7 linked regions of the Callithrix jacchus genome follow. The main gene of each other region encodes a partner of the protein of the gene in region 5 in a complex. Links are inferred from orthologs where the notes say so. Each region holds a gene or a part of one and is shown on either strand. Other genes may lie near its edges. The genes, in order: E2F2, RBL1, MYBL2, E2F6, TFDP2, RBL2 and LIN52.

The links.
Region 1: TFDP2 (region 5) and E2F2 share a complex: the UniProt entries of both Homo sapiens proteins name them as parts of the DRTF1/E2F transcription factor complex. The link is inferred for Callithrix jacchus from reciprocal best matches to the Homo sapiens genes TFDP2 and E2F2.
Region 2: TFDP2 (region 5) and RBL1 share a complex: the UniProt entries of both Homo sapiens proteins name them as parts of the DREAM complex. The link is inferred for Callithrix jacchus from reciprocal best matches to the Homo sapiens genes TFDP2 and RBL1.
Region 3: TFDP2 (region 5) and MYBL2 share a complex: the UniProt entries of both Homo sapiens proteins name them as parts of the DREAM complex. The link is inferred for Callithrix jacchus from reciprocal best matches to the Homo sapiens genes TFDP2 and MYBL2.
Region 4: TFDP2 (region 5) and E2F6 share a complex: the UniProt entries of both Homo sapiens proteins name them as parts of the DRTF1/E2F transcription factor complex. The link is inferred for Callithrix jacchus from reciprocal best matches to the Homo sapiens genes TFDP2 and E2F6.
Region 6: TFDP2 (region 5) and RBL2 share a complex: the UniProt entries of both Homo sapiens proteins name them as parts of the DREAM complex. The link is inferred for Callithrix jacchus from reciprocal best matches to the Homo sapiens genes TFDP2 and RBL2.
Region 7: TFDP2 (region 5) and LIN52 share a complex: the UniProt entries of both Homo sapiens proteins name them as parts of the DREAM complex. The link is inferred for Callithrix jacchus from reciprocal best matches to the Homo sapiens genes TFDP2 and LIN52.

The regions. Positions count from the first base shown.
Region 1 is NC_133508.1:60,271,277-60,275,106, reverse strand, and holds part of E2F2 (transcription factor E2F2), read left to right. Parts: intron 1-3,018; coding exon 3,019-3,211; intron 3,212-3,830. UniProt on the Homo sapiens protein: Transcription activator that binds DNA cooperatively with DP proteins through the E2 recognition site, 5'-TTTC[CG]CGC-3' found in the promoter region of a number of genes whose products are involved in cell cycle regulation or in DNA replication.
Region 2 is NC_133506.1:2,312,821-2,317,233, reverse strand, and holds the end of RBL1 (retinoblastoma-like protein 1), read right to left. Parts: intron 2,709-4,413; coding exon 2,538-2,708; 3' UTR 606-2,537; downstream 1-605. UniProt on the Homo sapiens protein: Key regulator of entry into cell division. Directly involved in heterochromatin formation by maintaining overall chromatin structure and, in particular, that of constitutive heterochromatin by stabilizing histone methylation.
Region 3 is NC_133506.1:39,048,164-39,052,448, forward strand, and holds the start of MYBL2 (myb-related protein B), read left to right. Parts: upstream 1-1,209; 5' UTR 1,210-1,246; coding exon 1,247-1,311; exon of another isoform or gene 1,312-1,314; coding exon of another isoform or gene 1,315-1,328; intron 1,329-3,289; coding exon 3,290-3,383; intron 3,384-4,285. UniProt on the Homo sapiens protein: Transcription factor involved in the regulation of cell survival, proliferation, and differentiation. Transactivates the expression of the CLU gene.
Region 4 is NC_133515.1:103,595,910-103,599,739, forward strand, and holds part of E2F6 (transcription factor E2F6), read left to right. Parts: intron 1-852; coding exon 853-1,008; intron 1,009-2,458; coding exon 2,459-2,573; coding exon of another isoform or gene 2,574-2,577; intron 2,578-3,830. UniProt on the Homo sapiens protein: Inhibitor of E2F-dependent transcription. Binds DNA cooperatively with DP proteins through the E2 recognition site, 5'-TTTC[CG]CGC-3'. Has a preference for the 5'-TTTCCCGC-3' E2F recognition site.
Region 5 is NC_133518.1:42,562,717-42,566,546, forward strand, and holds part of TFDP2 (transcription factor Dp-2), read left to right. Parts: intron 1-760; coding exon 761-923; intron 924-3,830. UniProt on the Homo sapiens protein: Can stimulate E2F-dependent transcription.
Region 6 is NC_133521.1:11,390,613-11,394,442, reverse strand, and holds part of RBL2 (retinoblastoma-like protein 2), read right to left. Parts: intron 885-3,830; coding exon 615-884; intron 421-614; coding exon 140-420; intron 56-139; coding exon 1-55. UniProt on the Homo sapiens protein: Key regulator of entry into cell division. Directly involved in heterochromatin formation by maintaining overall chromatin structure and, in particular, that of constitutive heterochromatin by stabilizing histone methylation.
Region 7 is NC_133509.1:109,031,305-109,035,573, reverse strand, and holds the start of LIN52 (protein lin-52 homolog), read right to left. Parts: upstream 2,978-4,269; 5' UTR 2,971-2,977; coding exon 2,940-2,970; intron 1-2,939.

The sequences.
Region 1 (3,830 bases), on a different chromosome or scaffold from region 5:
CCACACTGATCTGTCTGCAGTTTCCCCATTGCACTAAGCTCATTCCTAGTGTGAGATCTGTTACATTTTATTTATTTTTTGAGATGGAGTCTCATTCTTTTGCCCAGACTGGAGTGCAATGGCGTGATCTCAGCTCACTGCAACCTCCGCCCCCCAGGTTCAAGCGATTCTCCTGCCTCAGCCTCCTGAGAGCTGGGATTACAGGTGTGTACCACCACACCTGGCTAATTTTTGAATTTTAAGTAGAGACAGGTTTCACCATGTTGGTCAGGTTGGTTTTGAACTCCTGATCTCATGATCTGCTCACCTTGCCCTCCCAGAGTGTTGGGATTGCAGGCATGAGCCACCGCACCCGGCCTTTTTTTTTTTTTTTTTTGAGGACAGGGTCTTGCTCTGTTTCCCAGACTGGAGTGCAGTGGCATGATCTCAGCTCACTGCAACCTCTGCCTCCCGGCCTCAGGCCGTCCTCCCACCTCAACCTCCTGATTAGCTGGGACCACAGGTGTGTGCCACTATGCCTAGCTAATTTTTTGTATTTTTTGTAGAGATGAGGTTTTGCCATGTTGTCCCGGCTGGTCTCAAACTCTGGTACAGAAGTGATTTGCCCATCTTGGCCTCCCACAGTGCTGGAATTATAGGTGTGAACCACTGCACCTAGTCTTGCAAGACCTTCATACATGCTGTTTCCTCAACTGAAATGCTCTTCTCTTTATGCCTGGTTTATTGCTATTCATCCTACAGATCTCAATTCAAATGTCACTTTCTCAAGGAAGCCTTCTCTGATTACGCAGACTTTATAACCGCCTGTGCTTTTACACTGCCTTTAGTCTCCATTTGCTGAGGTATATTTGGCATGATAACATGATTGCATTCTGCTTCATCTATTAGAGTGTAAGCTTCACAAGGGAAAGTTCTGCTCACCTTGTATTCCCTGCCCAGAGCCTGGCATATGATAAGGGCTCAAGAAATAATTTGTTTAAAGGAAGAACTGGAGCTGTGGAGATGATTAAGTTCCCTCTCCTCCCCTGGAGAAGTTCAGGCCTTAGTGGGAAAAAGACGTGGTCATTTATAGACTGAAGATGTTGCTTTGAGAGCATAGAGAAAGGGTAGAGGAGACATCCTGGGTGGAGACAGTTAAACTAGATCTTAAAGAATGAATAGGGTTTTGGGCCGGGTGTATTGGCTCACGCCTGTAATCCCAGCACTTTGGAAGCCGAGGTGGGCAGATCATGAGGTCAAGAGATCGAGACCATCCTGGCCAACATGGTGAAACCCTGTTGCTACTAAAAATACAGAAATTAGCTGGCTGTGGTGGTGCATGCCTGTAGTCCCAGCTACTCGGGAGGCTGAGGCAGGAGAATTGCTCGAACCCGGCAGGCGGAGGTTGCAGTGAGCCGAGATGATGCCACTGCACTCCAGCCTGGTGTCTGGTGACAGAGCAAGACTGTCTGAAAAAAAAAAAAAAAAGAATGAATAGGATTTTGTTTGTTTTTGAGACGGAGTCTCACTCCATTGCCCAGGCTGGAGTACAATGGCATGATCTCAGCTCACTGCAACCTCTGCCTCCCAGGCTTAAGTGATTTTCCTGCCTCAGCCTCCTGAGTAGCTGGGATTACAGGTCCACACCATCAGGCCCAGCACATTTTCGTATTTTTAGTTGAGCCAGGGTTTCACTGTGTTGGTCAGTCTGGTCTCGAATTCCTGACCTCACGATCTACCCACTTCGGCCTCCCAAAGTGCTGGGATTACAGGCGTGAGCCACCGCGCCTGGCCTCCCTGGAGAAGTTCAGGGAATGGGGTTTTTGGTAGGTGCAGTTCTATGTGAGCACAGGCATGGAGACCTGGACGTGTGCCAGGATGCCATGCATGTCATCAGTTGTGGCTTAAGTTGTGGTTATGTGGTAGGGAAGAGGCAGGGTGAGAAGGCTAAATATCAGGACTCTTGGTTACAAGTAACAGAAAGTCAAGTCCAACTGGCTTAAGCCGTAGGTGTGGGTAGGGGTGGTGGGAACCAAATGACAAGTTCTGGGGGAGATTCAGAGATGGCAGGCAAGGCTGGATGTATATGCTCAAACTATGACTTCAGGTCTGTTTCATGCTTTTCATCTCTCTGCTTTTCTCTGTGCTGACTCCATTCCCAGGTGGGCTCTTTCCTTGTGATGGCAGAGATAGCCTCCTTGAGATGCAGTCTCGCTCTGTTGCCCAGAGTGCAATGGCATGATCTTGGCTCACTGCAACCTCCGCCTCCTAGGTTCAAGCAACTCTCCTGACTCAGCCTCTCCAGTAACTGGGATTACAGACACCTGCTACCACGCCTAGCTAATTTTTGTATTTTTAATAGAGATGGGGTTTCACCATGTTGGTCAGGCTGGTCTTGAACTTGTTACTTCAGGTGATCCACCCGCCTTGGCCTCCTGAAGTGCTAGGATTACAGGAGCAAGCCACTGTACCCAACCTTCACGCCCAGCTACTTTTTGCATTTAGTGGAGATAGGGTTTCACCACATTGGCCAGGCTGGTCTTGAACTCCTGACCTCAAGTGATCCACCTGCCTCGGCCTCCAAAGTGCTGGGATACCAGCTCAGCAACCCCAGTGGGAAGGGGACTTCCATTTCCCACAAGTCCAGCAAAAGTCTTGGGCCTAGTGCTGGTTAGATCCACCTAAGGAGCCGAGCCATGTGCCACCCTGAACTGATCATGTCACACTAAATTTCCTGGCTGTGTCACAAGCTCACCCACTGGGATTGGGGAAGGGTGCTGCCTCCCTGCCCCAAAACTGCATGACCTGAGAGTGGGAGAAGAGTGATTTCCCACAGGAAAACCAAGGTGTTCCCCCTAAAAGAAGTGGGCTTTGGGGCCAGACAGCAGAAACAGCAAAGTCCACCCTAGGCCAGATGGACCTGGTCTCAGTGCCAGCCCAGGGGTTGAGCTTGCTCCCATGGGCAGCAGCAGCCGTGTGTGTCTGTCCATACACACTGATGCACCCAGAGCCATGACCTTGCTTCTCTTTTTCCTCCAGGACAACCTGCAGATATATCTCAAGAGCACCCAAGGGCCCATCGAAGTCTACCTGTGCCCAGAGGAGGTGCAGGAGCCCGACAGTCCTTCCGAGGAGCCCCTCCCTTCTACCTCTACCCTCAGCCCTAGCCCTGACTCTGCCCAGCCCAGCAGCAGCACCGACCCTAGCATCATGGAGCCCACAGCATCCTCAGGTAGGACTCTTGTCCAGAGGGACAGGAAGTGGGGAGAGCAACCAGCCTTAGTTTTCTCTTCTACATCAGTGTTTGTTGAAAACCTCCTGTTTTATCCAGCAGCTGAGGATGCAGTCATTCTCCCCTACATGTGTGCATTGTATTTAATGCTTTATAAAGCCTCACTAGGAAGGCCTGGATTTGAATCCCAGCCCATCCGCTTACCAGCTATGGGACCTTGGACAAGTCACTTAACCTCTCTTGGCCTCAATTTTTCTCATCTGTGAATTGGGCATAGTAATTAATACTGTCTAACTCTTAGGTTGTTGGGAGAATTAATAAGTTAATATGGTCAGGTGTGGTAGCTCACACCTATAATCCCAGCACTTTGGGAGGCCGGGGCAGGAGAATCATTTGAGGCCAGGAGTTCAAGAGCAGCCTGGGCAACACAGGGAAGACTCTGTCTCTATTAAAAAAAAAAACAACTTAAATTAGCCAGGTGTGGTGGTATGTGCCTGTAGTCCAGCTACTTGGGGAGCTGAGGTGGGAGGATCACTTGAGCCATGGAGGTTAAGGCTGTAGTGAGCTATGAGCATGTGACTGCATGCTATTTTTGAGAGGGAGACCCTGTCTCAAAAAT
Region 2 (4,413 bases), on a different chromosome or scaffold from region 5:
AACCCAGTGGGAGGTGATTGAATTGTGGGGGCGGGTCTTTCCTGGGCGGTTCTGGTGACCAGAATGAATGTGTTTCACAAGATCTGTTTCTTTTAAAAATGGGAGTTTCCCTGCATAAGCTCTCCCTTTGCCTGCCCCTATCCATGTAAGATATGACTTGCTCGTCCTTGCCTTTCACCATGATTGTGAGGCCTTCCAGCCACGTGGAACTGTAAGTCCATTAAATCTCTTTTTCTTTCCAGTCTTGGATGTGTCTTCATCAGCAGTGTGAAAACAGACTAATATAATATCTAAGACTTAAAAAAAAACTAAGGTGAAATTTACATAACACAAAATTAACCATTTTAAAGTGTACAATACAGTGGCATTTAGTAAATTCACAATGTTATGCAACTATACCACCTATATCAAGTTCCAAAACAGTTTTATCACTCCCCCCCAAAAAACTCTATATTCATTACGCAGTTATTTTTTGTTTTCCCCCTAGACCCTGGAAATCACAGGAACCATTAAGTTAGACTAAGAAAACTTAAAGACATAAGTAGGTATTTAAAAAGACAGATTTTAGATGGCTGTATAATTGGTTCTAGTCATATAAAAAATAGTTTTTTTCAATAATCTCAATTCCAATTTTTATTAGCCATTTTATGTACATTGATAGCAAGTCCTGAAAATGGTAAAACATGTCCAGAATTTCTTTTTTTTTTCTTTTCTGAGACAGGGTCTCACCCTCTCACCTAGGATGGAGTGTAGTGGTGTAATCACAGCTCACTACAGCCTCAATCTCCTGGCCTCAAGTGATCCTCTCCTGTCAATCTCCTGAGTAGCTGGGACTACAGGCACATGCCACCATGCCCAACTAATTTTTAAATTTTTCTGTACAGATGAGGGCTCACTATGTTGCCCAAGTTGGTCTTGAACTCCTGGACTGAAGCAATCCTCCTCCCTTGGTCTCCCAAGTATTGGGATTATAGGCATGAGCCACAGCACCCAGCCCAGGGTTTCTTATACAGTCAATGTACAAATGCTCATTTACATTTTGCATAATAATGAAGATAAAAATGATACAACAGTTATGGCGACATACAAATATGTACAAGGATTCAAGACAGATTTTGTTATTTGGCTTATAACAATGTGTAGATACTACACAAAGAATGAGGATGTAATTTTCATTTACAAGCAAAATGTGACCAAAATCCCTTTTCTTCTTAAAAATAGAAAAATAAAATTCTTGAGAATACTAATTAGTGACAGCCAAATCTTAGACTATTTTAAATTAGCCTGGTTAAAAACAGGTGAGTTAAACATTGTGCCTTTCAAAAATTAAGGTTTGCAGTTAGAAACATAAAGATTTGATAAAAGTTCTCAAAATAAACTATGAATGGCTTATCCATACCCTCTGGATTCTGGACACATATTAGAAAAAGTAAATGTTAAAGAGGTGATATTTTGGAAAGCTGCATCCCTAGTACTGGAAAACATCTTCGGGAGTACCCAGTGGTCAAACACTAGCAGGAAACTCATGATGCACTAATAATACTGAGAACAAAGTTGGGGGAAGTAATAATCAGCTGTTTTACTGATGTATTCAATATATTAGAATTATGAGGCATGAGATGATATTTATGTGGTTTTTTAAACGTTTTCAAATATTCTTAGGGACTCAATTAGACATGACTGATAGTACGATGTGAAAAATAGTATACCATACATCATCAAGATGTTACCTTACTAACAGGAAATTTAGCTTTTAATAACTAACTGAATTTTATTCTACTGGGTTGAGAAGCAGCTGCCAATTTTGAGAACTACATGAGTTAACGCGATCATGCATGATTAAGTTAATGCCACAGAAACCAAAATGATAGTTTACAAAAGAAAAAGTAGCCCATTTTTTGGTTTGTAACATCAGGCTAATATGGCTTAGGGCTTAAAAGCAAGGATAAGGGTAGCACTGGGGCTCAGGTGCAAATCTGCTTTTGCTCAAGGAGAGAAAAGGCATGAGAAGGGGTGAGACAACCCTGAATGGTGGTGGCACCTGGATGTGTAATTACCACAGTGGGCCAGAGACAGGCTGGTACATCACCCTCTGGCTCAGGTACTCTGGGAACCAACCCTCTCCTTCAATTAAATTGAGAATACAAATATCTGAAAGCATGCTTACCAAAAGTAGATTATTTATCCTCATATTACAAAGCTCAGAAGAAGGAGACATTTATTTTTAAAAGAGAGCTAAAAAGTTACAGGGTTTCTCCTTATTTCATCTTGAAAACTAACCCAAGGAGCACACATTAAAAAAAAAATTCCTTGACTATTAATATTTTTAAAAGGCACTTAAAATATTCCTTTCCAATCCAACTTAAAATACATCTCTGTCAACCACATTTTGGGTATTAAAAGCACATAATTTTTGTGCAATTTTTTCTTATAACCCAGTGATATTTACCATCTATAGGGCCAAAAAGGTTTGAAGGACAGAGCTCCAACTTTCTGCAGAATGATCTGAAAGTGCTTTTATCACAGAAACAACAACATTAATGACTTGCTCTCTCACTGACAACATTCTGTAGTCGTTTCAGTAAAACATCATCATTTTCTTGACAGGCACGTTTGGCAGGGGATTCTGCATCACTATCGATGGCTATTGCTCGCTTCTTGGTTCTCTGCTCACCTTGCCTTATCATGTTGTTGATATCTTTCAAACTCTGTACAGAAACAGAAAGTGTGTGAATAAAAGAAGGAGAGGGAAAATGGCAGCAAACAACCAAGTTAATTGTTTTTTCCTGCGCTCTATCCTCTATCCAAATCTTAACAATGGGATAATGATTCTTTTTTAAAGTTAGAACAACCTAATAAGGGATGGCTAGAACTAATCTTTTCAGATAGTTTAAAAAATCAGATTTAAGGCCAGGTGTGGTGGCCTATAATACCAGCACTTTGAGAGGCCAAGATGGTTTGATCACTTGAGCCCAGGAGTTTGACACCAGCCTGGGCAACAGGGCAAACCCAGTCTCTATAAAAAATACAAAAATCAGCCAGGTGTGGTGGCTTGTGCCTGTAGTCCCAGCTACTCAAGAGGTTAAGGTGGGAGCATTACCTGAGCCTGGGGAGGTGGAGGCTGCAGTGAGCAGTGATCATGCCACTGTACTTCAGCCTGGGCAACAGAATGAGACCCTGTCTCAAAAAAAAAAAAAAAAAATTTGAATTTACTGTAGAACAGTAGTTCTCAATGCGTAGTACCCAGACTAGAAGCAGCAGAAGCTTTTTTGTTGTTGTTGCCTAGGCTGGAGTGCAGGGCACAATCTTGGCTCACTGCAATTTCTGCCTCCTGGATTCAAGCGATTCTCTTGCCTTAGCCTCCCTAGTTGGGACTACAGGTGCATGCCACCATGCCTGGCTATTTTTTTTGTAGTTTTAGTAGAGATGGGGTTTCACCATATTGGTCAGGCTGGTCTCGAACTCCCAACCTAGGGCGATCCACTTGCCTTGGCCTCCCAAAGTGCTGGGACCCAAAGTGCTGGGATTATAGGCGTGAGCCACCATGTCTGACTAATTTTTTGTATTTTTAGCAAAGACGGGGTTTCGTCATGTTGCCCAGGTTAGTCTTCAACGCCTGCACTCAAGCAATCCTTCCCTCTTGGCCTCCCAAAGTGCTAGGATTACAAGTGTAAGACACCTCGCCTAGCTGCTTTTCAACCTTTAATGCACTTACTAATTATTTAAAGATCTTGTTAACCTGCAGATTCAAAATTAGTAGGGCTGGTGTAGGGCCTGAGATTTTGGAATTCTCACAAGCTCCCAGGTGATCCTGATGTTGCTGGTCCATGAACCATACTCTGAGTAACAAGGTTGCAGAGAAGTGGTTCTTGAAATCCACGTATATAACAATTATAGGGAGCATGTCATAGAGTCCTAGACCTGCTAGCTGATGATTTGTTATTCACAAGGTCTGTGGGACAGGTATCTGCATTCAACAAGCTCCCCAGGTGATTCTGATTCATGATTTCAGAATCACTGTCTTAGAAGTCAAGTCAATCTTTGACTCCATGCAGCAATCTCTTCTGAACATCCTTATGGGAAATAAATTTGCAAAAGGAAGAAATATAAGTCCATGAAGAAGTGAATCTTTTTGTTTTTTGAGACAGGGTTCCACTCTGTCACCCAGGTCAGAGTGCAGTGGTGCAATCACAGCTCACTGTAGCCTCCAGGGCTCAAGTGATTTTCCCACCTCAGCCTCCTGAGTAGCTGGGACTATAGGTGCATGTCACCAAACCCAGATAATTGTTTTGCTTTTAAAAATTTTTTTGTACAGATGGCGGCCTGGTATGTTGCCCTTCAACTCTTGGGCTCAATCCTTGCCTTGGCCTCCCCAAGTGCTAGGATTATAGGCTTGAGCCACTATGCCCAGTC
Region 3 (4,285 bases), on a different chromosome or scaffold from region 5:
GTAGCTGGGATTATGGGCACATGCCACCACAACTGGCTACTTGTTTTATTTTATTTATTTATTTTGAGACGGAGTTTCGCTGGGAAACTCGCAGCGAAAAGTGCTGGGATTATAGGCGTGAGCCACCGCGCCCGGCCTAATTTTTGTATTTTTAGTAGAGATGGGGTTATAATCCCAGCACTTTGGGAAGCCGAGACGGGTGGATCACGAGGTCAAAAGATCGAAACCATCCTGGTCAACAAGGTGAAACCCCGTCTGTACTAAAAATACAAAAACTAGCTGGGCATGGTGGTTGCGCGCCTGTAGTCCCAGCTACTCTGGAGGCTGAGGCAGGAGAATTGCTTGAACCCAGGAGGCGGAAGTTGCGGTGAGCCGAGATAGCGCCATTGCACTCCAGTGTGGGTAACAACAGCGAAACTCCGTCTCAAAAAAAAAAAAAAAGTATATTATCTCACAGAAATGTCCCAGCTATCTGAGATGCTGACCGTATCAAACAGCACTGGAGGCTGGGCATGGTGGCTCACCGAGGCCAAGAGTTCGAGACCAGCCTGACCAACATAGTGAAACACCATCTCTACTAAAAATACAAAAATTAGACTCTCAAAAATAAAAAAAATAAATAGCATTGGAGCACCAGAGAGTGTACATGCAGACACCCTTCTCATCTTTGAAAAGAGTATTTGTGAGCTTCTGCTAGAAGCCAGGCCTTGTTTGTGCTGGATGCTGGAGAAGCGAAGATGGTTTCTGTCACGAGCAGTCTGGGGGCAGTTGTTTTTAAAGTCAGCTTCCTTCTGTTACTAGTATCTTCTGGATTTTTGCCTTTTATATGGCAATGGTGGTGGACCCATGAACTGGGTCAGGAATGAATTCCAGAGCCTTCTGTGACTGATGTATTGCTGGCAGTCGACACCATTTCTTCCTTTTTTCCCCCCCTTATTTATTTATTTATTTTATTTTTAAAAAACCGCTCCCTGTCCCCCATCTCTTCCTTTTCTATTCCTGAAAATTTTTTCTTTTGAAACCGGGTCTTGCCTGGCCTAAAAAATTTAATTAGTATTTCTTATCGACTACTAGGCAGCTGCTTTGCACATTTTTTTTCATTCATTTGTGGCGTATTTAGTCACTGGGCAAACATTTCTTAAGGCTTTTGGTGATAAGCCCTGGGATGCGGAGGTGGAGCTGACCTTTGTAGACTGTGTAGAGATAGGCAGTTGCAGTGTAAGGACCTGAGGCAGGAAGTTTTTCCATGTGCTGTGGAAATGTAGGAGTGACTCTAGGAAGGAATGGTGAGCTGTGGAGAACAAGGAGAAGGTAATGTGGATAGCACAGTAAGTCGCCTTTCATTTGGTCATGAGACCTAGACTTGCCTTGTTTGGAACCTGTAAGCTTCTTCCAGTTTACAAATGCATGACCTAGCAACTCAGCAGACCAAGATGATCTGATGCAGTTTCTGTTGTTGAGTTGGGGAAAGGTTACTAACTTTCCTCATGTGCCTGACATCTCTGGACGTGGATTGTGTGATTTCCATTTTTGTAACTATTACACTGGGTAAATACAAGGGCTTTTTGGAGCAACTTGGAAAATTCCCTTGTACAAGAAAAACACCCAGCCTTCAAAGCAGCTTGTACTTTTTTTTTTTTTTCCTCTGCAGCCATGTTAGAATATACTGTACACTGATTTTTCTTTCTTTTTTTTTTTTTTGTGAGACGGAGTTTAGCTCTTGTTACCCAGGCTGGAGTGCAATGGCGCGATCTCAGCTCACCGCAACCTCCGCCTCCTGGGTTCAGGCAATTCTCCTGCCTCAGCCTCCTGAGTAGCTGGGATTACAGGCACGCACCACCATGCCCAGCTAATTTTTGTATTTTTAGTAGAGACGAGGTTTCACCATGTTGACCAGGATGGTCTCGATGTCTTGACCTTGTGATCCACCTGCCTCGGCCTCCCAAAGTGCTGGGATTACAGGCTTGAGCCACCGTGCCCGGCCTCTTTCTTTTTTTTTTTTTTTTTTGAGACAGAGTCTTGCACTGTCTCCTGAGCTGGAATGCAATGGCGCCATCTCAGCTCACTGCAACCTCCATCTCCCGGGTTCAAGTGATTCTCCTCCCACAGCCTCCCAAGCTGCTGGGATTATAGGCGCCTGTATTTTTTTTTTTTTAAATCATGTATGACACCTGCTATTGAGGATAGGCGCCTGTATTTTTAGTAGAGACGGGGCTCAGTGTGTTGGCCAGGCTGGTCTCGAACTCCTGACCTCATGCTCTCTCCTCAGCCTCCCAAAGTGCTGAGATTACAGGTGTGAGCCACTGTGCCTGGCCAGTACACTGATTTTTCTTTCCATTAATTATGCCTGTGTGTAGGCAAGGATTGAAAAGGGATTTGCAAAAGAGAGAAGCGATTTGCAAAAATGGACATAAGCTGGATATGGTGGTGCACACCTGTAATCCCAGTTGCTTGGGAGGCTGAGGCAGGAGGATCACTTGAGCCCAGGAGTTCAAGATGAGTCTGGGCAACATAGCGAGACTGTCATTACAAAATAAAAGAAAAAGGGGCCGGGCGCGGTGGCTCACGCCTGTAATCCCAGCGCTTTGGGAGGCCGAGGCGGGGGTGGATCACGAGGTCGAGAGATTGAGACCATCCTGGTCAACATGGTGAAACCCTGTCTCTACTAAAAATACAAAAAATTAGCTGGGCATGGTGGTGCGTGCCTGTAATCCCAGCTACTCAGGAGGCTGAGGCGGGAGAATTGCCTGAACCCAGGAGGCGGAGGTTGCGGTGAGCCGAGATCGTGCCATTGCACTCCATCCAGCCTGGGTAAGAAGAGCGAAACTCCGTCTCAAGAAAAAGAAAAAAATCCAAGCACAAGCAACAACTTGGCCAGTTACGGTGGCTTAGGCTTGTAATGCCAGCACTTTGGAAGGCCAAGGTGGGAGGATTGCTTGAGCCTAGGAGTTGGAGTCTGCAGTGAGCTATGATTATGCCACTGCATTCCAGTCTGGGTAACAGATCCATTCTGTCTCAAGAAAAACAACAAATGGGCATAGTTACCGCTCAATTGTTGTTGTTTTTTTAGTTACTCCCGAGGTGGGAGAGTTCGAGATCACTCTGGGCCCCATGTCTGCATAAAAAATACAAACAATTAGCTGGATGTGGTGGCATGCCCCTGTAGTCCCAGCTACTTGGGAGGCTGAAGTGGGAGGATTATTTGAGTCCAGGAGTTAAGGCTGTGATCATGCCATACTGATCTCCAGCCCAGTGACATCCTTAACCTTTTGGCCTGCTTTCTCCATAGCGAGGAGTTGGATGAGCTGCACTACCAGGACACAGATTCAGATGTGCCAGAGCAGAGGGATAGCAAGTGCAAGGTCAAATGGACCCACGAGGAGGTGAGTGCCATGGGGAGGAGATGGCTGATGGTAGCTGGGGCTGGCCAGAGGAGCTGAGCCTGGAGTGTCTTCCTGATGTCCTGTCAGAGGGGATGAAGAGGAGGAGCCAGTGAAAGGATAGGTCCTCTGGGGGACTTAATTCTGAGGACTCGGTGGATGGGAAGGGGATGTGTGTCTCAGACCTTAGGGCCCATTGTGTCTCCTCAGCAGCTGGGATGTTCTGTTTCATGGACGTTGATTATGCTTCTTGCCATTTGACTGCTAGGAGGTTTGGCCAAGCCTGTAATTTCCCGCTTTCTTCTTTTTTTTTGTCGGGGGGTGAGATGGAGTTTTGCTCTTGTCACCCAGGCTAAAGTGCAATGATAAGACCTCCTTGGGTCACTGTATCCTCCGCCTCCCGGGTTCAAGCAGTTTTCCTGTCTCAGTCTCCCAGTAGCTGGGATTATAGGCATGAGCCACCACACCTGGCTAATTTTTGTAATTTTAGTAGAGTCGGGGTTTCACCATGTTGACCAGCTTTGGCCTCCTACAGTGTTGGGATTACAGGCGTGAACCACTGCCCCCAGCCAACTCTCCCTTTCTTTTTCTAAAAAACTATTGAACCTTGTAACATGAAGCCTGACTTGGTTTTCTTCTAGCTCCATCTTTTTGTTCTTTTTTTTGAGACGGAGTTTCGCTGTTGTTCCCTAGGCTGGAGTGCAGTGGCGCGATCCTGGCTCACCGCAACCTCCGCCTCCTGGGTTCAAGCAATTCTCCTGCCTCAGCCTCCTAAGTAGCTGGGATTACAGGCACATGCCACCATGCCCAGCTAATTTTTTGTATTTTTAGTAGAGACGGGGTTTCACCATGTTGGCCAGGATGATCTCGATTTCCTGACTTCCTGATCTGCCCGCCTGTGCCTC
Region 4 (3,830 bases), on a different chromosome or scaffold from region 5:
CATATTGGAGTAGACCTAATAACTAAAGAGAATATGTATGTCTTTTTTTTTTCTTTCGAGACAGAATCTTGTTCTGTCACCCAGGCTGGAGTACGGTGTCTTGATCTCGGGCTCACTACAACCTCTGCCTCCTGGGTTCAAGAGATCCTCCCACTGCAGTCTCCCCAGTAGCTGGGATTACAACTGTGCACTACCATGCCCAGCTAATTTTTATATTTTCAGTAGAGACGGGGTTTCACCATGTTGGCCAGGCTGGTCTCAAACTCCTGACCTCAGGTGATCTGCCCTCCTCAGCCTCCCAAAGTGCTAGGATTACAGGTGTGAGCCACCAAGCCTGGCCAGAAAATACGTCTTTTTTATGATAATGAATATAACTGTTGTATTCAGATGGAATGCATACACTAGGGAAAAATACAGACTCATCACATTTTAGCAGAGGAACCATCATTTAGCCAACACTTTTTTTTTTCATATGTAGGAATTCAAGTACTATAAGATTGCCACTAACTTACCAGAAGCTGTGTTGTAAGTATAGGACTGAGGCTTAAGCTGGATATTACTGACTCTTAGTTCAGTGCTCTTTCTGCTTCCTTAGGCTGTCTCTGCTATTATTAATTTCTGTTAGAGTGTAATGTATTTTTTATTTTTTGCAAAAGACTGTAAGAGGAACTATGAATAATTTATATACAGGAGGAATAATGGCTGTCTAGAACAAAGACGGCAGAAGTTGAAAGTCCCTACTTTCTGTTGTGGAAAACACCCATGGTAAACATTTGAGGTTCCATAACCTAACGTCAAATTCCTTTGTTATCTCCTAGTTGGTATTGATGGTGATTTTTTTTTCTTTTAAAGAGGATCTGATCTTAGCAATTTTGGAGCAGTTCCTCAACAAAAGAAGCTGCAGGAGGAACTTTCTGACTTATCAGCAATGGAAGATGCTTTGGATGAGTTAATTAAGGATTGTGCTCAGCAGCTGTTTGCGTTAACAGATGACAAAGAAAATGGAAGATATCCTTTAAGTCTGTACGTTTTTAAAATTTCTCCTTCCAGAGCAGATTACTTAGATAGTAGAGTCAGCTTGGGGACTTAATTTATATATTTAAAATATAAAATTAGACCATTGCAAGCTAAAGTAATACAAAATTAGCCGGGCGTGGTGGCGCATGCCTGTAATCCCAGCTACTCGTGAAGCTGAGGCGGGAGAATTGCTTGAACCTGGGGGGGTGGAGATTGTGGTGAGCCAACATTGTGCCATTGCAAGAACGAAGCTCCATCTCAACAAAAAACAAGTTTAAGTAAGTACAAGTTGGTAGTGTAGCCTCAAACATACACAGCGTACGCAGTAGGTTGTTTTAACTTCGGTGTGGCGTTTCTTAGATTAAATTCTGGAAGATGACCTCGGGTATAGTATCAAACCAAGGTCAATGCTGCCACTTAAAACAGTGGAGCATTCATTTTTATAGTCTGAATACTGTAAAGATAATAAATTTTTGTTGGCTTTTGTGAAATTCATGTTTTTCCTAGAAATTTGTAAACGGAAGTTGATTCTGAAACAGAGTGAATTGCCATTGAAGTAAGTGGTGCTTCAACTGCCATTTGTGTCCACAGAAGCATGTTTTGCTTAATAGCAGTTTTCCTTTGAAACTCAGTGTCTCTGGGAACTGGGGAATGGGCCTGGGGGAGCCTTGTCTTTGGTACTGACCTCCTAGGTGTCTTAGACCTGTACACTGTGCTGTTCCCGTGGTACCCTTTGTGAGGGGGTCACTGATTCTAAGATATTCCATACCTCAGATTTACTTAAAACTCTCTAGCAGTCAGAAACCTCTATTCCTACAGTACAGTTATTGGAAGGAAAAGAAAAATAAGCACCAACATTACTGCAGCCAATTGGGAAAAAAAACAGTGCTAGGGAAACCCAGTAAATTTGAGGTAAAATTTGAGACAGTACAGTGAAACAGGACGAAAGAGACTCAGATAGTGAGAAGGAAAATCATTTCGGATGAAGTAATGAACATAACAGTCTTGAGAAACAGTCTCTAAGTTGTTTACACCTTTTTATGGATTTTAGGGGATGAGTCCTGAATGTTTTTTCTTAAAGTTATAGTAAGATCTAGCTTACTGTAGCTGAAAAGGGAATCAAATGAAAATTTGAATTTCTTCATGAGCTATATTTGTGTTAGGGATTTGGACTTTATTAATATTTTTCTCTAGAAATTATCATTATAATAGTATAGCTTAAACTCTTTAGGTTGAGGAAATATTGTAAAACACTACAAAATCTTTGTGAATAATAAAAATGATCAATGAATTTTTTTTTTACTGCTTTCCTTCATTGTGAACTTGTATCTCATAAAAACTAAAGACATTCTAACATTACCCTTGTGTTACTGAGTTACTAGAGATAAATTATCTCCCCAATAAATAGCATTCTGCATAGAGATCCTTGACTGAGTTTTACACTAGCATATGTGACATATCAAGACATTCATAGCATTCAGGCCTTCCACGAACAGATCGTCATTGCAGTCAAAGCTCCAGCAGAAACCAGATTGGATGTTCCGGCTCCCAGAGAAGTAGGTAACCCTGCATTTTTAAAATATCCAAGGCCAGGCGCCATGGCTCATGCCTGTAATCTCAGCACTTTGGGAGGCCAAAGCAGGCGGATCATGAGTTCTGGAGATTGAGACCATCCTGGCTAACACACTGAAACGCTGTGTCTACTAAAAATACAAAAAATTAGCCGGGCGTGATGATAGGCGCCTGTAATCCCAGCAACTTGGGAGACTGAGGCAGGAGAGTTGCTTGAACCTGGGAGGCAGAGTTTGCTTCAGAGCCGTTGTGTGCATGTGCACTGTGTGTCTCATACTGACACTGCTCAAGGCACTTCATACCCTTTAACTTGTTTCAACTAACAACAAATCAAGTAGTCATTATTCTCATCTTAAAGATGAGGAACCGAAAGCTCACAAGATGAGTTATCTTTGTCAGGATCACCAGAATTCAGACCTGGTTAAGGTGGCTTCATAGTTGCTTCTTAGAAGAACCACCAAGAATTTTCCTCTCTTAAAGTTCCAAAAGTAAGGTGTGGTCTCAGCCAGGGCACTGGGGACTTTGGGCTTTTTCCCTATGCCATGAGCTGCTTCAGACTGTAATTGCTGAATCTGGCTGAGCCTTTGATCATGCCTGAGGCTTCTCTTAGAGTCTCATTTCAAGTCTGTGCACATGGGCCCAATTGACCAGAGCCTGACCATGAAGATGTGGGGGTTGGCAAACTGACCTTCTTGTTCTTAGAAATACTTTTATCAGGACACAGCTACATGCCCATTTGTTTACATACTGTGTCTCTGGCTGCTTTTATACTATAGTGGCAGAGTTAAGGGATTGTGACAGGGATAGTATGACTTGCAAAGCCAAAAATATTTACTGGCTCACCCTTTACAGAAGTTTGACAACTAGTTTAGTGGAATGTGAAGTCCTCAGCTGGCTTCCAGTTGAGAGTAACATTAGTTCCTTTTACTGTTTAGAAATATCTGTTAAATTGTATGGGATTTACCATTCAAACCAGATGTGACCTGGCACTCTAGAAGCTGAGCACAGATATTCCCTAGCCCACTTGCTGGGTACTAGAAAGTCATAGCAAGGACAAGTGAGGGTCTGAGACCGTCTGAGAGGCTGCATCTCCCCATACTCACCCTGGTATGAGATCACAGTGCAGTGAAGAGCAGGAGGGAGCAGTGGTGTCTGTGTGTCCAGCCCAGGCCTAACTGCACTAAACAGGAGAAAACAGACTTTGTTACAGTTAGACTAGCTCCCAGTTAAAGCAGTCATTT
Region 5 (3,830 bases):
AGGGGCAGTAACATGCATGGAGCTGTCATCTCCTGTGATAACAATGCCTTCTTCCGGATACCTCCTGAAGGATTGCCTGAAGCTTTTTACAGTTTAATTTATAATTTGAAGAAGTACGCTCTAAAATAATGATGAAAAGTGTAGTTTAGTAAATATGGTAACCCGTAACATAGTCATTTATTATCAAGTATTATGTACTGTCCATAATTGCACATGCTAGACTTCTTTAGCACTGGCAGTGCAGTAGCTTTGTTGCCAGCGTCAGGGTAATGCAGTATGCTATGGCATTACAATGTCTACTGCATCACTAGGCAATGAGAATTTTTCAGCTCCATTGGAATCCATTGGAACAGGGGACCACTGTTGTATATGCAGCAAATGACTGTAGTTTTAATTTCAGTAAAAAATCATATAATCTACATAGAATACAAAAAGATACGTATGTTAGCTGTACAAGGGCAGAGTTTCTGTGTTTCTTTCACTGACTTATTCTCAGTGTCAGTAACAGTATCTGGCACAGAATAGTAACTGTTCAGTAAACATTTGTTGAATAAATAAATGATGGGCATAGAAAAGCACTCTAACTTCATATTTTATTAGGCCCTTAAGGCAAAAAGTAAGTTTAAATAAACATTTTCTCATCTCTGTTAAATTTTTGCCATATGAAGCAAAACTTAAATTACTGTCTTCTTGCATTATCTTACAGAGATTTGTAAAGGAAGTCTCTAATATGTGTAATGGAGTAAATTTTCTCTTCTAGTAAACGGAGCAAAAAAGGAGATAAAAATGGGAAAGGCTTGAGACACTTTTCAATGAAAGTGTGTGAGAAAGTTCAACGAAAAGGTACAACATCATACAATGAAGTCGCTGATGAGCTGGTGTCAGAGTTCACCAATTCAAATAACCATTTGGCAGCTGATTCGGTAGGTAGACCATGAACCTGCCGTTGATTTTGATGGATGATGCTACTTTCTTTGTGTTAGCCGTGTAATAGATTTGAGGAATCAGATAAGCGAGGTGAATGACTATACTTTAGAGTTTCATCCTGTATTTGGGGGGATTTTTTTGTTGTTGTTGAGTTTTATTTTGTAGGGAATTCTTTTTTTAGGCGGAGTCTCACTCTGTTGCCCAGGCTGGAGTGCAGTGGCACAATCTCAGCTCACTGCAACTTCACCTCCTGGATTTAAACGATTTTGCTGCCTCAGCCTCCTGAGTAGCTTGAATTACAAGCACCTGCCACCACGCCCAGCTAATTTTTGTATTTTTAGTAGAGACAGGATTTCACCATGTTGGCCAAGGCTGGTCATGAACTCCTGACCTCAAGTGATCCACCCGCCTCAGCCTCCCAGAGTGCTGGAATTACAGGCATGAGCTACTGCGCCTGGCCACCAGTAATTTTTTTATGTTTCTGAATCTTATTGTTTCTTCAGTGTCTAAGTCAACAAAAAAATTTTATTTTTAATTGGAAAAGGAATACAGAAATATGTTTATTAAAAATTCAGTTGCAGCCGGCCGTGGTGGCTCACACCTGTAATCCAAGCACTTTGGAGGCAAAGGCGGGCAGATCACGTGAGGTTGGGAGTTCAAGATTAGCGTGACCAACATGGTGAAACCTCATCTTTAAAAAAGAAAAAAAAGATAAAAATTCAGTTGTCTGGCAGAGTCTCAAATAAATGCAGTGCAGTGGTGTAATTTTGGCTCACTGAACACTGCCTCCTAGGTTTGAGTGATTCTTGTGCCTCAGCCTCCTGAGTAACAGGGAACAAAAATGGCAAGGCTCTGCCTCTACAGAGAGAAAATTTATTTATTTAATTTTTTTTTTATGAGATAGGGTTCTCACTATGTTGCCACAGGCTGATTTTGAACTCCTGAACTCAAATGATCCTCCAGCCTCAGCCTCCCAAAGTGCTGGCATCACAGGCATGAGTCACCATGCCCGACCTCTACAAAAAAAAAAATTTTTTTTTAATTAGCCAGATGTGGTGGCACAAACCTGTAGTCTCAGCTACTCCAGAGGCTGAGGAGGATTGTTTGAGCCCAGGGATTCAATCATGCATTACAGCCTGGGTGACAAAGCAAGACTTAATCTCTTTAAAAAAGTGTGTGTGTGTGTGTGTGTGTCTATGTGTCTATGACTTATACTCTTGAGCACTGATTTAGCCCTTGATTCTGATATATCGTTCTTTAAATATTCTGTAATTTTGGATTGAATTTGTTCTTTGATCTAAGAATTGCCTTAGAAAGAGTTCTTATAGTTACAAATGTTTTTCTTTTCTTTTTTTGCTTATTTGTTGCCTTAAAGTTTTACTTTTCATACTTAATTTGACCAGATAATATGATTTGAACTATTTCCCTTTTCTGTGGATTATATTTTTTCCTTGGGAGCCATGATATAGTGATTTTCTTTCCTTTTAATGTTCTCTAACCACTTGAAAAAGAAAAATATAGGGCCGGGCACGGTGGCTCAAGCCTGTAATCCCAGCACTTTGGGAGGCTGAGGCGGGTGAATCATGAGGTCAAGAGATTGAGACCATCCTGGTCAACATGGTGAAACCCCATCTCTACTAAAAATACAAAAAAATTAGCTGGGCATGGTGGCACGTGCCTTTAATCCCAGCTACTCAGGAGGCTGAGGCAGGAGAATTGCCTGAACCCAGGAGGCGGAGGTTGCGGTGAGCCGAGATCGCACCATTGCACTCCAGCCTGGGTAGCAAAAGTGAAACTCTGTCTCAAAAAAAAAAAAAGAAAAGTATATAGCATTCTGTTTCTGAGTGAAAGCCTTGGTTCTAACAATGAGCTACAAGCTGCTTTGTGATCTTGCCCACCATTACCTCACTAATCTTGTCCTCTCCTGTGCACTTTCTCATTTACTATCCTCCAGCCACATGTCACTACGCTCCAGCTACATGTTTTGTTCCTGATCGGGCCATTGCACTTGCTGTTTCCTTTGCCTAGAGCACTCTGTGCTATGTATCCATATGGCTTCTCCCTCCATGCCCTGTGATCTCCACTCACCTGTCACCACAATGAAGCATTTCTTCTTAGTACTTTTCAACATATAAAATACATTTTTATTAATACCCGAACACCACCACCTTCCCAGGATACAAACAAAGGTTGAGTTTTTCCCCTCTTTGTTCACTGCTTTGTGATTTTTCTGATGATTTAGGGTGCTTGTAGTCTCTAGTTCTTCAGTTGGTTACCTTTATAACTTAAGTTCCTTGAGTTATCACCTGTAGACAGTGTCTATTGGTTATGAAGAAAAATGTATGTTTATTTTTATCTTCCATTTTTCTCTTCTACCATAAGATTCAGATTAGATATTTTAGTATATTTGTTAAAAGAATAAGAATACTATTACAGGCCAGGCACAGTGGTTCACGCGTATAATCCCAGCACTTTGGGAGGCCGAGGCAGGTGGATCAATCACAAGGTCAAAAGTTTGACACCAGCCTGGCCAACATGGTGGTACGCACCTATAATTTCAGCTACTCGGGAGGCTGAGGCAGGAGAATCATTTGAACCCAGGAGGCAGAGTTTGCAGTGAGCCTAGATGGTGCCATGCACTCCAGCCTGGTGACAGAGCAAGACTCTGTCTCGGAAAAACAATAATAATACTATTAGAATTGTTTGTATTACTTTAAATCAACAGATCGTGCTGAACCTTTTATAATTATTTAATCTGCTTTGAACAATATCCGTATCCCTTCCAGTATCAAAAAGAGGAAATTGGCATACCTACTGCATTTCCTCCTCCTGGTACTTCTTATAGTATCATTTTTTTCTATAATGTCAATATTTCCTTTTTTTTTTTTTTTTTTTTAAGATGG
Region 6 (3,830 bases), on a different chromosome or scaffold from region 5:
AAATATCTAGTTTGGCACAGAGATCCCGAAGGCGTACACCTGCTAAATGGTATACCTAGGAGAGAAACAAAAACATTTCAAACTTTAACACTTATATTTCCCAAGCTCATGCTTCTGGTAAGGTTACGTGAAAAATTACCTTTCTAAAGAAAAGCGATAATGAGCTGGTTTTCCTGGGTCTATTACTGCTGCTGCTTACGGACTGGCCTTGCTTCTGCTGTTGGCCACCTGGGGAAATCTGTTGAATGGCCACTTGACCAGGGACTTGTAAAGTTGTTCCTGTCACTTGTTGAGAGCTCAGACTTCCAGCCAGGGCCTGAGCACTGAGGGGCTGGATGGAGCCTGTCACAGCTTGTGCCTGCCCCCCAACATTGACTTGGACTGGGTAGAATGTTATCCCTCCATTTTCATTGGCAATACCTAGTTTGTGACAGAAAAAAAGCTTGAAGAAAATGTTAATAAGGGGTTCTCCAGGCAAAGGTTTACAATTTCCCCTCTCTTAACCCCGCCCCCCATCACTCCTCTGTCCCCTGCGTCACTCTAGCCAAACCTTGGGTAACTTTTCAATACATGCCACAGAGAAGGAACTCAATATCCAGCTCTGCCTTCCTTACCTTGCACAGGAATGGTTACTGTTTGCCCATTGTTGGCAGTGACAGTGGCAGTCGCCATGGTGACCAAAGTTTGTCCAGGAACTGGTGTGACAGAAACAGGCTCCCCAGATACATTCTGCACAGGGACAGCATTGACTATTGGCTGTTGGGGCATGCGCCCAGGTGTCCCTCCATCAGAAGGGCTATCATTCTCAACAAATAGCCGCCTTCTGGTAGTGCTGGCTGGTGGTGAGCTGTACCTATCATATAATGTGGTTGGAGATGTTACACCTAGGGTCAAAACAAATCAAAGTATTTAACTCAAGGAGACTCAGATCTGACTTCCATCCAAGTTGTCAGGTTCAAAAATTACTACAGTGTTTGAAATTATGTTTTCATAAATCAAAAAGCAAACAAGAATTACAGAAGTCATATCTTACCTCCATTCCACTAATGAAAATTAGTGAATTTTCAAGAGCAAAATTTTAAAATGGAATTTTTTGTCTTGTAGTGTTCCTTTCTCCAATCCCCCTTTCCCTAATCAGACTCGACTCTGTCTTCCACTACTACAGAACCTTCATGATTTAGGGGCAATTTAAGGCATTCATTACCCTATTTCTCTGTATGACATTTTTCTGTAATAGATATGACTTTACTACAGAGCCACTACTTGACACGATTGGTAGTATGTCATCTAGGAGCATTCCCCCACCAGTTTTACCAATTTTTATCTTTGTCTTTTTCCACATATAAAATATTATTAAAACTCAATATACTTAAGGTGGACATGCATGACTTATGACTTGGATTCAATTAGGCATAGTTTATTTTTTAATCAGTTTTTTATAAACAAGGTGGACGTGCATGATTTGGATTCAATTAAGCATAGTTTATTTTTTTAAACAGTTTATATATCATAAATTTTATCCACTTAAATTGTACAATTCAATGGTTTGAGGTAAATCATTTTTATTTTTATTTTTTGAGACATAGAGTCTTACTCTGTCGCCCAGGCTAGAGTGTAGTGGTATGACCTCGGCTCACTACAACCTCTGCCTCCTGGGTTCAAGTGATTCATGTGCCTCGGCCTCCTGAATGACTGAGATTACAGGTGTATGCCACCATGCATGGCTAACTTTTTTTTGAGACAGAGTTTCGCTCTTGTTACCCAGGCTGGAGTGCAATGGCGCGATCTTGGCTCACCGTAACCTCCGCCTCCTGGGTTCAGGTAATTCTCCTGCCTCAGCCTCCTGGAGAGTAGCTGGGATTACAGGCACGAGCCACTATGCCCAGCTAATTTTTTGTATTTTTAGTAGAGACGGGGTTTCACCACGTTGACCAGGATGGTCTCAATCTCTTGAACTCGTGATCCACCCGCCTCGGCCTCCCAAAGTGCTGGGATTACAGGCTTGAGCCACCGCGCCCGGCCTAACTTTTGTATTTTTAGTAGAGATGGGGTTTCACCATGTTGGCCAGGCTGGTCTCAAACTCCTGACCTCAGGTGATCTGCCCACCTTGGCCTCCCAAAGTGCTGGTATTACAGGCTAGTTTTTTAACACTGTGGTAAAATATATATATATAATTTACCATTTTAACCAATTTTTATGTGTACGATTCAGTGGTATCAATCACATTTACAATATGGCAGAACAGTCACCACTATTTGTAAAACTTCATTACCTGAACAGCCCATTATGGCTTAGTCTGTTTTTAAGTATTCACACCAATGTCTGAATTTTTGAGAAGCATTCCTTCCTTCTTCTGTGTCCACCTCTAAAAGCTGTGTATCAGTTGTTTTTAAATTTTAAAATATATGTAGGAAGTTCGTAAGAGGTATTGATAGGAGTAAATCCTAATAAACTGCAGCTTAACATTTCTATTTCCAGATGACACAAAAGTAAGTCAAGTTACTAGATTTGTATTTGGTACAAAGCTGCAGAATCAGAAAGAATACATTATCATTTTTGTATAAAATATCAAGAGATCTCAGGAAAACTGAGAAGTGATAAGTGCAAAGAAAATGAAGTTTAAAGTTAAGTCCTCTTAATCTGTAAATAAGGGAAGGGAAAATTCTACAAAAATAGACTGAGAAAGACCAGCTGTCAGATCTTTCAAAAATGAGGACTTTTCATATGGATCATCCATGTGTATTAAGTATACACTGACTTAGAGTGATTTTTTTTTGTACAGATAGCATCTTGATATGTTGCCCAGAATGGTCTTGAACTCGTGGGTTCAAGCGATCCTCCCTACTAGGTCTCCCACAGTGCTCGGGTTACAGGCATGAGCTACCATGCCCATCCTAGAGTGATTCCTGACTTTATTTATTTAGAGACAGAGTCTCACTCTGTCGCCCAGGCTCAAGCGCAGTGGCCTGATTCAAGCTCACCACAACCTCCACCTCCGAGGTTCAAGCTATTCTCCTGCCTCAGCCTCCCAAGTAGCTGGGATTACACATGCCCGCCACCATGCCTGGCTAATTTTTTTTTTTATTTTTAGTAGAGACGAGGTTTCACCTTGTCGGCCAAGCTGGTCTCAAACTCCTGACTTCAGGTGATCCACCTGCCTTGGCCTCTCAAAGTGCTGGGATTACAGGCATAAGCCACGGCACCTGGCCGATTCCTGACATTAAAACTGGTATTTCTTCTACAGCCAGCTCTTATCAATTACATTATAAAACTGATCTAGAAATAAGAATATTCTTTTAATTGCATCCAAGGATTTAGAACTCTCTGGATTTACTGAATTGCTCTTTAAAAGGTAGTTCTATTTAAACTTCAACCTTTCATATTGCAGATCTTCCAAGCAGCTGCCTAAAAAGTATAAACCAGATGCACAGCAAAACTGCCCTTTTCTGTATTTCTTGGACCAGCACTAGTGTCACATTAACTAGGGTAGCACATCTCAACAGACCAAGTGGAACATACTCAGTAGTCTTAACTCACGGGTTTGTCTGTACCTAACTGGATCATGTAGCTCTGTCTTTAAGAAGGCATTTCTATTTCTCCTGTAATATGTATTTGCCGTAAAAATTTTACAGAATCACCAGGAATTCTATCAACCAACAATAATCTTAACAGTTTGGTTTTTCCATTTCCACCATTTTGTATGCTCATCGATAAACATACGCTTTAAAAAATACATACACAGCAGTCGGCTGGCTATGGTGACTCCTAGCACTTTGGGAGGCCAAGGCAGGCAGATCACCTGAGGTGAGGAGGTTGAGGCCAGTCTGGC
Region 7 (4,269 bases), on a different chromosome or scaffold from region 5:
TCCTAAAGCGCTGGGATTACAGGCGTGAGCCACTGCACCCGGCCGTGAAACCCCATCTTTACTAAAAATACAAAAATTAGCCAGGTGTGGTGGCATGTGCCTATAATCCCAGCTATTGGAGAGGCTGAGGCATGAGAATCACTTGAACCCAGGAAGCAGAGGTTGCAGTGACCCAAGATGGTGCCATGGCACTCCAGCCTGGATGACAGTATGAGACTCCATCTCAAAACAAAATAAATAATAACAAAAATAAATTAGCTGGGCATGGTGGTGTGAGCCTGTAGTATCAGCTACTTGGGAAGCTGAGATGGAATGATAGCTTAAGCCTTTCAGTGTGCTGGGAGCTATAATCATACCACTGCATTTCAGCACCGGCAATAGAGTGAGAGAGACCCTGTCTCTAAAAGAAAATTTAAAAAAAAATCATTGAGGGTAGGATCTATAACCTACACCGGTGACCTTATGATACCACAATCTGGGACAGAACTCTGCTGTGAGTCTTACTCTCACAAATTAAGTAATTAGATGGCTGTATTTGAATTTCAGTTTTCTCCTTTTCAAAGAAGTTCCAGCAAATTTAGCATGAAAAAGACAAAAGAGTAAATAAAAAACATTTTTAAATCAATATTGTTTGAATTAAATTTTAAAGACAGTGACAGGTGGAACACTAAAAATAGAAGTGAGAGAGCTAGGCCATGGAATATTTTAGAATGAGTTACTTATTTAGAAGATGAATTTAATTAAGTTCAAAGTGCTCGACTTGATTTTGTCAGATTAAAAAGAAAAGATTAGGTGGAGAAGAGTGAAACTCTGTAAGAGATAAGAATGAAAACTTAAAAAATAAAGAGTGCAAATAAAGTGACCATAAAGATGGCTAGAAGACCAAAGGAAAAACATACAATGTTTTTAATACTCTTCCTGGCCAAAGAAAGGAAACTAAATTGAGAAGACAGGGGAAAAAATCCAACTCAAGAAACACATCTTTAAAATCCCCCAAATCTGTAAAAACAATTTAAAAATAAACTAAAAAATTTAATAACAATTACCTCTACTTCTATCACTTGGCTTTGTTATTTTAAATTGTGGTGAAATATACATAAATTTGACCATTTTAACAACTTTTAAGTATACAGTTCAGTGGTATTAAGTACATTAATTGTGCAATCATCAGCACATTCATTTCCAGAATGTTTTTCACCTACCTAAACTGAAATTTGGTACCTGTTAACAGTAACTCCCTATTCCCTCGCCTTGCTTTTTAAATGCCCTTCTTTCTGGCAAGAGAAGGACATTTCAGCAAGAGAGCACCCAGGCAGGAGACTCTCTTTTGACTCCAAACATCCATAATTTCTTTTTTGTTGTTGTTGAGACGGGGGTTTCGCTTTGTCACCCAGCCTGGTGCAGTGGCATGAACATGGTTCACTGCAGCCTCCACCCCAGGGCTCAAGAGATTCTCCTGCCTCAGCCCCCCAAGTAGCTGGGATTACAGGTGTGTGGCACCATGCCCAGCTAATTTTTGTATTTTTTTTTTGTAGAGACTGGGCTTCATCATGTTGTCTAGGTTGGTCTTGAACTCCTGAGTTCAGGCAATCTGCCCGCCTCAGCCTCCCAAGATCTTAAAACTTAAGATCAAGTAATATATTATTTCTGCATATATCTAATCAATCTTTCAATAAATGCTAATTAAAGACCTACTGTTCACCAGGCACTGTGCTAAACCCTGGGATCCAACTATAAACAAGACAAACTTGAAATTTATAATCTAGCATAAAAGGGGCAAAGTTAACAGAATTACTATGCTGACAAGGAAGACACTGAGATAATGAATAATGGTGGGGAAGAGCGACTCCAGATCCTGTGTTCTAAGAGACTCTTTGGGAGGTGACATCTAAAAAAAGATCTGAAATTGAAAAAAAAATATTTATATGTTTGAGTAATCTTTTGGAATCTCAAAGCACCTAGCATTATGCGTTTCATGTAGCAGGTACTTAATAAAGCTCACCTTGGCTTCAATTTCCTCATTCCTGTAATGAACTTTCAAGATTCCTTCCAAATACAAAATGTGTTTGTCTAAGGGAGGGAAACCTATATATCAATGAAATCGATATATATAGTTGGGATGGGAACGACAGAAACAAAAATGAGTTTAAAAATGACTGCAAGACCCTAACTCTCTAAAGCAGAACCGAGACCAAAAGCATAGGAATATACCAAGACAACCTAATTGTTACTTGAAATGACTTGCATTTTACAATACATAAACAGAAATCGTTCATTCACTCAGCCTGAAGAAACAACACAAAAAGCAGATGCAAAAGAGGTTGCGACCTGTGCAAGACAACACTTAAAAGCTCAATACTCATTCTCCTCGCGACTCTCACGGTGAGGGGCCGAGAACGTCCCCCGATTATCTTGCTGCCACGGCAGTGGTCCCAAACAAGAGACAGGAGAGAGATCATGTTTCTCTTGCGGTTCAGTATCGAGATGAGGTCAGCCAGCAGCCACTGCTAGAGTTTGTGAGAATCGTTCCATCCCTGCGCTCAATCAGAAGAAAACTGATCCCTCAGTGTGATACTCCAAGGAGGAGACTAGTTTAAGGCACGTCCTTTCCTCCACTAACATCTCCTCCGAGGCTCTCAGCCTCACCCAAATAGAGACAAGGAAGGATCAGGGCAACCCCCTGTCCTTTTACCCAAAGTGAGTCCCTCCCTGGTGCCCTCCTCCACACGCCTGGTACAGAGCGGGGAAACTGGGCACCTCCGGAGCCGCTGTGAAGAACCAGTGAGCTGAAGACGGCGATGGATCTCAAGAAAAAAAGTAAAAGGGAAAGGAGAAGAGCCCAAGAAAGAAATGTATGTTTGAGGGGCAGAGACAGAGTAGACGTTGCCGGTAGAGCAAAGAAGGAGGCTGCAGGCAAAGATCTACAAGCCGGCTCTTACCGTCTGTGGGAGACGCCATCTTCCAACCCATGTCACGTGACATGGCCAACCGTCGGCGGGAAAACGAGGATCCATAAGCCACTCCCCCAAAGAGAAACCCTATCCCCAACTCACAGCCTAGTCTCATTCCCTCGCCTCATAGGGCAACATTTGCCTATCCCCGCCCCTAATTATAGCCACGCCCCTCGCGCAGTTGTTGAGGTGGAGCGACTGCAAAATTCTTGGAGGGTCTTATTTACTTTTCTCGGTGAGAGGGCGGGGCCTCGGTTGCGCCCTTGGCCAATCGGAGTTCCGGGTTAGGGGGCGTCTTCCCCGTGTGCACAGTATGGAGTGTCCAAGTCAGGGGCGTCTTCTCTACCTCCGCCAACAGCATTGGCTGAAGTGGGAGAGGGCGAGACCTTTTTCGCTCCTGACCAATCACTTATTCACAGGACTGGCGTGTGAGGGGCGGAATCAGGTGTTGGTTCGCGTGACTGGCTGGAAAAAATAGTCCTACCCACCAATGAGGAAGCCAGTCAGGATGGAGGGCGAGGCCTGGCAGCTGTAGTGCTTCTGAGCAGTAGAGGCGCAGGGTGCGGAGCTAGGGAGGCCGAGAGCCATGGCGGCGGTGGTGGCGGCGGCGGCAGTGCGAGCCCGGATCCTGCAGGCGAGTGAGGGTGGTGCCAAGGGACCATGAAGCCAGGACTTAGATCTTTTCCGTCCACTCCGTGAACCATCCTCGGGCGGGACCACCTTTTTGGCCCAGCCCCTTTTTGGCCGGACCTCGTGTTCCTACGCGACCTGTGCGGCCCTGTCCCATGCGCAGCTCTCACTTCATACCCTACCTCGTCCCGGATCCCACCCGAGCTGTTACTCTTGGCCTTACACCCTTTTACTCCTGAGCCTCCTCTTTTCTGGCTCTCGCCCACTCTCCTCCAGCCCTGCCCGGTCCCTGCTGTCACTCTCTTGCCCTCACCACTCCATCCGTCCACCGTCTTTCCTTTTCACCTCTGCACCAGCCTTCTCTCTCTCCCCCGAGAACTACTCTTTTTGATTACTCTTTCCCTGCCGTGAGCGTCCACGTTGCCATTGCTCCCTTTCCCCACCCTACTTCACTTTCCTTGATCCGAGGTAAGGGGGAGAGGGGATGTGAGGGGAGAGGGTAAGTGTATGAACTTTGAATCTCCTTCTAGACGTGTACTCCAGGTATTCACCAAAGGCAGCCATTTGCAAGCTATTTTCCCCAAGCGTGGCTCTTTGTATTTTCCATAGACTGGGTTGTGCCCTTTCTTGCCAAAACTTTCAGCTAAACTTTCTCTCAGCTAAGTTACAGTTTACATAGATAGGGCAC